Linked DNA regions of Arabidopsis thaliana. The protein of the gene in region 1 interacts with the protein of each later gene in a pairwise test. Each region holds a gene or a part of one and is shown in the gene's direction. Other genes may lie near its edges. The genes, in order: TUB3 and PLP3a.

Evidence for each region.
Region 2: the proteins of TUB3 (region 1) and PLP3a interact in a two-hybrid assay, tested with the Arabidopsis thaliana proteins (one study listed by BioGRID).

The regions. Positions count from the first base shown.
Region 1 is NC_003076.8:25,182,124-25,187,325, forward strand, and holds TUB3 (tubulin beta chain 3), read left to right. Parts: upstream 1-2,134; 5' UTR 2,135-2,377; coding exon 2,378-2,771; intron 2,772-2,861; coding exon 2,862-3,131; intron 3,132-3,614; coding exon 3,615-4,303; 3' UTR 4,304-4,654; downstream 4,655-5,202. Other genes in the region: TUB2 (tubulin beta chain 2), read left to right, coding at 1-188, 690-1,378. UniProt on the Arabidopsis thaliana protein: Tubulin is the major constituent of microtubules, a cylinder consisting of laterally associated linear protofilaments composed of alpha- and beta-tubulin heterodimers.
Region 2 is NC_003074.8:18,938,117-18,942,304, reverse strand, and holds PLP3a (thioredoxin domain PLP3A-like protein), read left to right. Parts: upstream 1-1,876; 5' UTR 1,877-1,992; exon of another isoform or gene 1,993-2,061; 5' UTR 2,062-2,078; coding exon 2,079-2,162; intron 2,163-2,298; coding exon 2,299-2,373; intron 2,374-2,447; coding exon 2,448-2,495; intron 2,496-2,580; coding exon 2,581-2,723; intron 2,724-2,809; coding exon 2,810-2,882; intron 2,883-2,973; coding exon 2,974-3,035; intron 3,036-3,121; coding exon 3,122-3,219; intron 3,220-3,304; coding exon 3,305-3,414; 3' UTR 3,415-3,608; downstream 3,609-4,188. Other genes in the region: XERO1 (dehydrin xero 1), read right to left, coding at 89-271; LTI30 (dehydrin family protein), read right to left, coding at 899-1,480; ZAR1 (HOPZ-ACTIVATED RESISTANCE 1), read right to left, coding at 3,620-4,188. UniProt on the Arabidopsis thaliana protein: Tubulin-binding protein involved in microtubule formation.

The DNA.
Region 1 (5,202 bases):
CCCAGATCGCATGATGCTTACCTTCTCGGTGTTCCCTTCACCAAAGGTTTCTGATACTGTGGTTGAGCCTTACAACGCTACTCTGTCTGTCCATCAGCTTGTTGAGAATGCTGATGAGTGCATGGTTCTTGATAATGAGGCCTTGTACGATATTTGCTTCAGGACTCTCAAACTCACTACCCCCAGCTGTAAGATTTCATTTCCCAATTATGCTCTCCACCAATGTTAAGATGAGTTAAACTATGCTTGAAATGCTTGGTCTACATGGTGTTTATGTTAATAATTGGTATCAAGTTCAGATCTGCAAGCATCTATGTAAAGCTTATAGTATTGTTACTGTTTCCATTGGTTTGCTCTTTGACTATGTCACTGTTTTATATCAGAATTCTGATTTGCAAGTCTCTGTGCAGAACTTATACTTTTGTTACTGTTTCCAGTCGTTTTGTACATATCTTTAGCCTCTTGTTTTGTGTGATATTGCTTCTGTTTACCTATTTTGATCTCATCACCGAAGTAGGTCCTTAAACTACTCTTATTGGAACAATACTTTCTGGTTAAGTTGCAAGTAGAAATCTGATACTTGATGATCATCAGTTTGTTGAGTTTACTGTCTGCTTTGATTCTTTTCTCATCGTACTGTTTGGATATGTCTAAAGCTTACACATACTTGGATTTTCTTCTGTGTGCAGTTGGTGATTTGAACCACTTGATTTCTGCTACTATGTCTGGTGTGACTTGCTGTCTGAGGTTCCCTGGTCAACTCAACTCTGACCTCCGAAAGCTTGCTGTGAATCTCATCCCATTCCCCCGTCTTCACTTCTTCATGGTGGGTTTTGCTCCTCTCACCTCAAGAGGTTCTCAGCAGTACCGTTCCCTCACAGTCCCTGAGCTCACCCAGCAAATGTGGGACTCCAAGAACATGATGTGTGCTGCAGACCCAAGGCACGGACGCTACCTCACAGCCTCTGCCATGTTCCGTGGCAAGATGAGCACAAAGGAAGTTGACGAGCAGATGCTGAATGTGCAGAACAAGAACTCGTCCTACTTTGTGGAGTGGATCCCCAACAACGTGAAATCGACAGTCTGTGACATCCCACCTACTGGTCTGAAGATGGCATCAACTTTCATTGGAAACTCAACATCAATCCAAGAGATGTTCAGGCGAGTGAGTGAGCAGTTCACAGCTATGTTCAGGAGAAAGGCTTTCTTGCATTGGTACACAGGTGAGGGAATGGACGAGATGGAATTCACAGAAGCGGAGAGCAACATGAACGATCTTGTGTCAGAGTACCAGCAATACCAAGATGCAACTGCGGATGAAGAAGGTGACTACGAGGATGAGGAAGAAGGTGAATATCAACAGGAGGAAGAGTACTGAGAATAATTTAGTTATAACTGCTTTAAAAACAAAAACAATTTAGTCGTTTGCTACTTTTCTTTTTTTTAAAAGGAACACCTCAACTACCAGTTGTAGTTTTTTTCTCTGCTTGTATTTGACATATCTGGTTGATGTTTCTGTACTTTTGTTCTTAATCTTGTTATTGCCTGTGATGTTTCTATTAATATTTTCCAGTTGTACTGTCTTCAATCTTTGGTCTTCTATCCTCATCTTTCTGCTACCTGACTACCTCAGTACCTACTTAAGGACTTTAGGTTTGATCTGTTTGGAAAATAGATTAAGGTTCGGGATTTGTGACCTCAGGGCAAGTGCAGCTCCATATTAGACCCCAAAACAAATTTATCACTGTTCTGAAATACAAATTCCCCAACATGCCTAGCTTTGAGGATTGATTGTTTCTAAGCTATTTATTTTCTTTACCAATTCACATAAATACTTTAGGATAAAGTGGAAATTGTCAATATTCAAACACGTTCTCTTCCCTTTGTTAACAAGCAAAATATGAAAATAACATGTGCTCTTCCATTATTTCATTTTTTGCAACCCTTATGAATGGGCCCAAAGCCTGCCACAAACATGTGCACAATATTAGAAAAGAAACTCTAAAAACAAAAACAAAATGAACATTCTTTTTTTTGCAATTTGTATTATAATATCAAAATAATATTTTAAAACTCAATTTAATATTGGAAAATAAAATAAAATTTGGAAACTAAACAGTTACCATAGAGAAAGAAACGGACCATTTTTAAATTTTGAATTTCGAGAAAAACAAAATCGGCGCCTCTTATTAGAGATAATTGGGGGAAAAAAACAAAAAACAAACACAGAGAGAGCAATAATAAAAACTCACTCACTCTCACTTTTTTCATTTCTTCAACAAAAAAAACCTAAAGCTCTCTTTTCTCTCCAGATTTCGATTCCCGAGGCTCGAGAGAAAACCGTAAATCTCTTCTCCGTTCACTCAATCAACCAAAGATGCGTGAGATTCTTCACATCCAGGGTGGTCAATGCGGTAACCAGATCGGAGCCAAGTTCTGGGAAGTGGTTTGCGCCGAGCACGGCATCGATCCAACCGGAAGGTACACCGGAGACTCAGATCTGCAACTTGAGCGCATCAACGTTTACTACAATGAAGCGAGTTGCGGTAGATTCGTTCCTCGTGCAGTGCTCATGGATTTGGAGCCTGGGACTATGGATAGTCTCAGATCTGGACCGTACGGTCAGACCTTTCGACCTGATAACTTCGTCTTTGGTCAATCCGGTGCGGGTAACAACTGGGCCAAGGGACACTACACTGAAGGAGCTGAACTAATCGATTCCGTTCTCGATGTTGTTCGTAAGGAAGCTGAGAACTGTGACTGCCTCCAAGGTTATTCTTCTCCTTCTTCTTCTAGATCTGTTTGTATTAGGGTTGATTGAGCTTTACTGGAGTTTTAAACTGCGAGATTTGCTTCTGTAGGGTTCCAGGTTTGTCACTCATTGGGAGGAGGAACTGGATCTGGTATGGGAACATTGTTGATCTCTAAGATCCGTGAAGAGTACCCAGATCGCATGATGCTTACCTTCTCGGTGTTCCCTTCACCAAAGGTTTCTGATACTGTGGTGGAGCCTTACAACGCTACTTTATCTGTTCATCAGCTTGTTGAGAATGCTGATGAGTGCATGGTTCTTGATAACGAGGCCTTGTACGATATTTGCTTCAGGACTCTCAAACTCACTACCCCCAGCTGTAAGATTTCGTTACCCAATTGTGCTCTTTTACAAATGTTAGATTAGTCGCTCTATGCTTAAAATGCTATGTCTAGATGGTGATTATGTTAATAATTGGTATCAAATTCAGATCTGCAAGTTTTCTCTATATATAACTTACTGTTTTGTCACTGTTTCTAGTGGTTTGTTCATGTCTATATCCTCTTGTCTTGTGTGCTATTGGTTTATCAATGTTGAGCTCATCACTATAAATCCTTAAGCTGCTCTTTAATCTTATTGGAACAAAACTTTCCGGTGAAGCTGCAAGTACTTTCTAGTTTAATCTTATATGTTGCTTGCTGTTACATATGGGATATGAATTCATTGATGACTATCGATTTGTGAAAGTATACTGTCTTCTTTATAATATACTTGTTTCTGCAAGATATGTTGCTATGCTCATCATGTTGTTTGTTGTATGTGTCTATATGGCTTACATACTTGGTTCATTCTCTGTGTGCAGTTGGTGATTTGAACCATTTGATATCTGCCACTATGTCTGGTGTGACTTGCTGTCTGAGGTTCCCTGGTCAACTCAACTCTGACCTCCGTAAGCTTGCTGTGAATCTCATCCCATTCCCTCGTCTTCACTTCTTCATGGTTGGTTTTGCTCCTCTCACCTCAAGAGGTTCACAGCAGTACCGCTCCCTCACAGTCCCTGAGCTCACCCAGCAAATGTGGGACTCCAAGAACATGATGTGTGCTGCAGACCCAAGGCACGGACGCTACCTCACAGCCTCTGCCATGTTCCGTGGCAAGATGAGCACAAAGGAAGTTGACGAGCAGATGCTGAATGTTCAGAACAAGAACTCGTCCTACTTTGTGGAGTGGATCCCCAACAACGTGAAATCAACAGTCTGTGATATCCCACCTACTGGTCTGAAGATGGCTTCCACTTTCATTGGAAACTCAACATCGATCCAAGAGATGTTCAGGCGAGTGAGTGAGCAGTTCACAGCTATGTTCAGGAGGAAGGCTTTCTTGCATTGGTACACAGGTGAGGGAATGGACGAGATGGAGTTCACAGAAGCAGAGAGCAACATGAACGATCTTGTGTCAGAGTACCAGCAATACCAAGATGCAACGGCTGATGAAGAAGGTGACTACGAGGATGAGGAAGAAGGTGAATACCAACAGGAAGAAGAGTACTGAGAGTAATTTAGTTATAAAAACCGCTTGAAAAAATCAATTTAGTCGTTTGCTACTTTTTTTCTTAAAAAAAAAAATGAGAACCTCAACTACCAGTTGCAGGTTTATTTCTATGCTTGTATTTGACTTATCTGGATGATGTTTATGTACTTTGTTTTTAAATTTGGTTCGGTCTTTAGTTTGAATCTTCGTTTAAGCTATTATTGACTGTATTGTTCCTAATCTCGTTAAAGACTTTGGGCTTATGATTGACTAACCTTTGGGCTTATGATTGACTAACCTTTGGGCTTTGGATTTCTTCATTTATTTTTAAGAGCTCGGCCCATTTTCGTGGTGACTAAATTACACTCTTCGAGATAAAACAGATAAGAAATTTACTTTTGATGTAATAAATATTGTTGCTACGAAGTATTTTACTTTTGGAAATAAATAGGGACGACATTAGTGTTAATACTCTTGTAAATTTTGTCAGATTACACATTATTTTACAGATCTCTCAGACAAAGTAAATACAAAAACGACACAGTTTCGTAACTTTCACTCGCGTCTCAAGTACAATCTCTAAATTACTCGCTTTCTGTGAAAGACACGTGTATTTTGTGACTTAAATAACAGCGAGTAGATTTTAGAACCATAGTCGCGAGTGTTTTTATAGGCACAGATATATTTGAATTATGTCTCCTCGCAACGGGTCGCTCTCTCTCTCTCCTCTGCACCAGTCTCCAAGGGTACAGATTTTGAAAAACCACTCCTTTCACTTAGCTCGAAAAGAAGAGGGAAAAACAAAATAATAAAACCAAAAAAATGATAAATTAAAGAATTCTTTTTAGGAAAAACAAAAGTAAAGATTTTTCATCATGAGTCTTCCTCCTCTTACTCATACGGTCATACCCAATCACTAC
Region 2 (4,188 bases), on another chromosome or scaffold:
GTCAAATTAAATGAAACTTCTTGTATTTGGTGATATAGAAAGAGTACACTAAATATTGCAAAAGCAATTGCGTAAAACAGAAGCATACCGAGCTAGAGCTAGAGCTACTCCCAGAACGGTGAAGCATGCCACTTAAACCACCACCTTCAGCCACGGCTGGAGCTCCACCGGCAGTTCCATAGGCTCCGGTGGTGGCTGGAAATGGATTTCCAAATTGGTCAAGCTGTTGGTGAGTCTGCTGCGCTCCGGACTGGTTTTGGTAAGACTCCATATTCCTTTTACAATTGAACCTTTTTTTAGCTATAGACAAAATTAAGACACTGATGGATAAAGATGTATACGCTCTTGAATGGTATTTTTATAGAACCGCAACTTTGGATAGGGATCATAATCACATATAGTATTATGATTATTATCAAATTGCGTTGAAGTGACACACGTGGCGATTACGTAAGACGTTGGTTTTGTGGTTAGTGTGACACATGTCCGTTATAATCGACACACCTCTTTTAACTCGATATCCGTAAAAACAACTTATTTGGGCCGTATGGGCCTGAATTGAAAACCTGAGTAATATACATTGCCAAACAACTGCGGTCGTTTCCCTGATAACTTGTATGCAAAAGAACATATAAACTTGTAAAGAATTGAATTACCAAATAATTACATGTGAATTATACGTGGTTGTATGTGTCACAACTCACAAGTATTTTAATAACATGGAATAGTTGAAGCGATAGAAAGATAAATAAACGAAACCAGAAGTAGATATTTTATATTAATTCAAAGATCCATCACTTACATATATTATTTAGCGACTCAATGAAAGAAAGCCACATCATCATATTATTACACCACACAAATACTTAAAATAAGCTTAAACAAGTTGTTAATCAATCTAGTGATGACCACCGGGAAGCTTCTCTTTAATCTTATCCATCGTACTTTTATTTTCATGGTGAACAACGCCAGTATTACCATAACTTGTGGTGGTTCCAGTTTTGTGAGTTCCATGATGACCTGGCAGTTGCTCTTTAATCTTTTCTGCTATACCTTTTTTCTCATGGTGAACGACATTAGTGTTAGTACCATAAGCCGTGTTAGTCCCAGTTTGATGTGACCCATGATGACCTGGTAGTTTCTCCATAACTTTTTCGGTCACACTTTTTTTCTCGTGGTGAACACCACCAGTGTTAGTAGTACCATAAGTTGTGTTGGTTCCAGTTTGGTGTGATCCATGATGACCTGGCAGCTGCTCCATAACTTTTTCCGTCATTCCTTTCTTCTCGTGGTGAACACCACCGGTACCAGTAGCACCATGATGACCTGGCAGCTGCTCCATAACTTTCTCCGTCATCCCTTTCTTCTCGTGGTGAACAACACCAGTGTTAGTAGGTCCATGATGACCTGGTAGCTTCTCCATGATTTTCTCCGTTATTCCCTTCTTTTGCACTCCGGTTTGATTCTGGTGAGAATTCATTTTTCTTCTTTGAATCGAAAATATACTTCTTTAACTCTTTTCTTTCTTAGGTATATATAGATGAAATATTCAAGACTTTGATCGATGAAGATTAATGATCTCTTGAATGATACTTTTATAGAGATGCAAATTTCATTTTGGATAGGAATTCATCATCACATAGATATTTTACTCAATACGTGTTGGCCGACATCGTAAAAGTAATATATTCAATTCGTAATTGATTAAGAGTCACACACACATGGCAAGTAAGACGTCGGTGTAGTAGTGGTTAGCGACCGACGTAATTTTAACTTATATGGGCCTGTGGGCCTTTAGATATGAAAGGCCCAATAATGCATATCTTTTACTAAACTAAAAAACGATGTCGTTTGGTATGTTTCTTCCACCTTTGTTGTTCATCTTTTGATTTTTTGAAATTGTTAGTAAAGAAAGGAAAAAAGCTTTGATTTCGATTTCTCAAGCTGTGTTTTTTTATTTTTCTTCTTCGCATCAGGAAGGAATTGAAAAAGGTATGATTTTGAAGCTTTAGCTCTCATTTATCTCTGAATCCTAATGCTTTTTTCATGCTGTTGTTTCAGATTTTTGGTGTTAAAAGATGGATCCAGATGCAGTCAAATCGACTCTCTCGAATCTAGCATTTGGAAATGTAATGGCGGCTGCTGCAAGAAATTATCAAAAGGTAAAGAATGTTTCTCAATTTGTTTTTGAAATAGTGATAGACTTTATGAGTTTTTTTGATGTTTCTTTGTCTGAGTAGATTACCTGTGAGGACTTACTTGTATGGTTTTGATGAGTTCTTTATATGGGTTTTGTAGGAAGTTCTTGCAAATGAGAAGGCGCAAGGATCAAATCCTGTTAATGAAGAGGTTGATCTTGATGAACTTATGGATGTAAGTGCAATGTTGCTTGTTGTGACTGTTAAGCGTAGGTCTCTATGGTAGACTTATTTGTCTATGTTCTGTAGGATCCAGAGCTAGAAAGATTGCACGCAGATAGGATTGCAGCACTAAAGGTTATAACTTTGGCATTGTATTGTGGCCTATATAGTTATGCAGCTTTTGGTATGAACTAAAATCTTCAAGATTTTATCTTGACAGAGAGAGGTTGAGAAGAGAGAATCGTTTAAAAGACAAGGGCATGGTGAATATCGAGAGGTGAGTGAAGGAGATTTCTTGGGTGAAGTCACCAGGAGTGAGAAAGTGATATGTCATTTCTACCATAAGGAATTTTACCGGTGCAAGTAAGATCTCTCATCAGCTTATTTTTTGTTCGTCTTCTGATATGTATATGAGCTCATAACCAAACATATTTACTGCATTACTGTAGGATTATGGACAAGCATCTGAAAACTCTTGCACCTAGACATGTGGACACAAAGTTCATTAAAGTGGACGCAGAGGTTAGTGAACCATTTGATGAAAGTTTTATAAGAGGAAATGGCTTTTCAACAATCCTTTGCTGAAGCTAATGCTTGGCTGAAATAAATGCAGAATGCTCCTTTCTTTGTCACGAAGCTTGCAATAAAGACTTTGCCTTGCGTTGTGCTTTTCAGGTTTCGCCTCTTTCTATTCCTTCTTACATACAGGGTTTGTTGTTAGGTGTATACTCATAAAGTACGAGTTTCTTTACCATTCTTAGCAAGGGAGTTGCGATGGATAGGCTAGTTGGGTTCCAGGATCTGGGAACCAAGGACGATTTCACAACGAATAAACTAGAGAACGTTCTTCTTAAAAAGGGTATGAAGAACCTCGGTCCCACCTTTTTTTTATTATAACGGCCCAGTTAGAGAATTTTTGCTTAAAGAGTGCAAATCTTTAACAGGAATGCTCAGCAAGAAGAAGAAAGAGGAAGATGATGAAGACGCCGAATATCAAGAGAGCATACGGAGGTCTGTTAGGTCTTCAGAGAATCTGGACTCTGATTCTGACTGATCAAGCAGTTGACATCAAAGATCTGCCATTGCTGCTAGTCTCTGTTTTCCCTTTTTGCTCGTTTGTTATATGATTATTAGAAAAGAAAATTGCGATATGAAATCCAAACGGTCAAAGCAACATTACATTGTATCAAGGTATATGTAATACACCAACTTATTGTCACTGTTTAATAAACATTGATCTAGTTGCTTAAAACGTTTCATCAGGTTCTGTGCAATGGTGTTTTCATCCACACTCCGCCTCTAAAGCCAACATCTTCAATCGCGAAAGACTCTAGCTCTGGACACCAGTTTGCGGTCACGGTCCTCAGGTACGGCATTGACTGTTGCAGCACTTCCCAGTCCATGTCTAGGTCCGACAATGAACTTAACATTAAACCTTCAATTCTCCAGTGAGTATTCTCGTTTCCCCAGAATGGTTCCTGCATTTTCACCAAATTACCTGAACATATTGACATGTACCTCAACATCGGAAGCTTGTGAGGACTCAACCACGATGGACTCGACTTTCCAGGATAGAATTGTAGAGAAAGCTCATGGAGCTGGTGTGGAGGAGTAAGGGCGTCTATTTTGGTTATGAGATCATCGCCGTAGCTATCATAGCAGTTGATCGAAATGGACATCAGCTTGCTTAGGTTTATCAAAGAATCAAGCTCCTCCTCTTCTATCTGATCGCCACGAGTCAGAGAAAGACCAAGTTTCCGAAGGTTTGTGAGATTTTTCACTTCACTGAGCTTGCACCCATTGTTGGACCTGGCTGGCTTAAATCCCA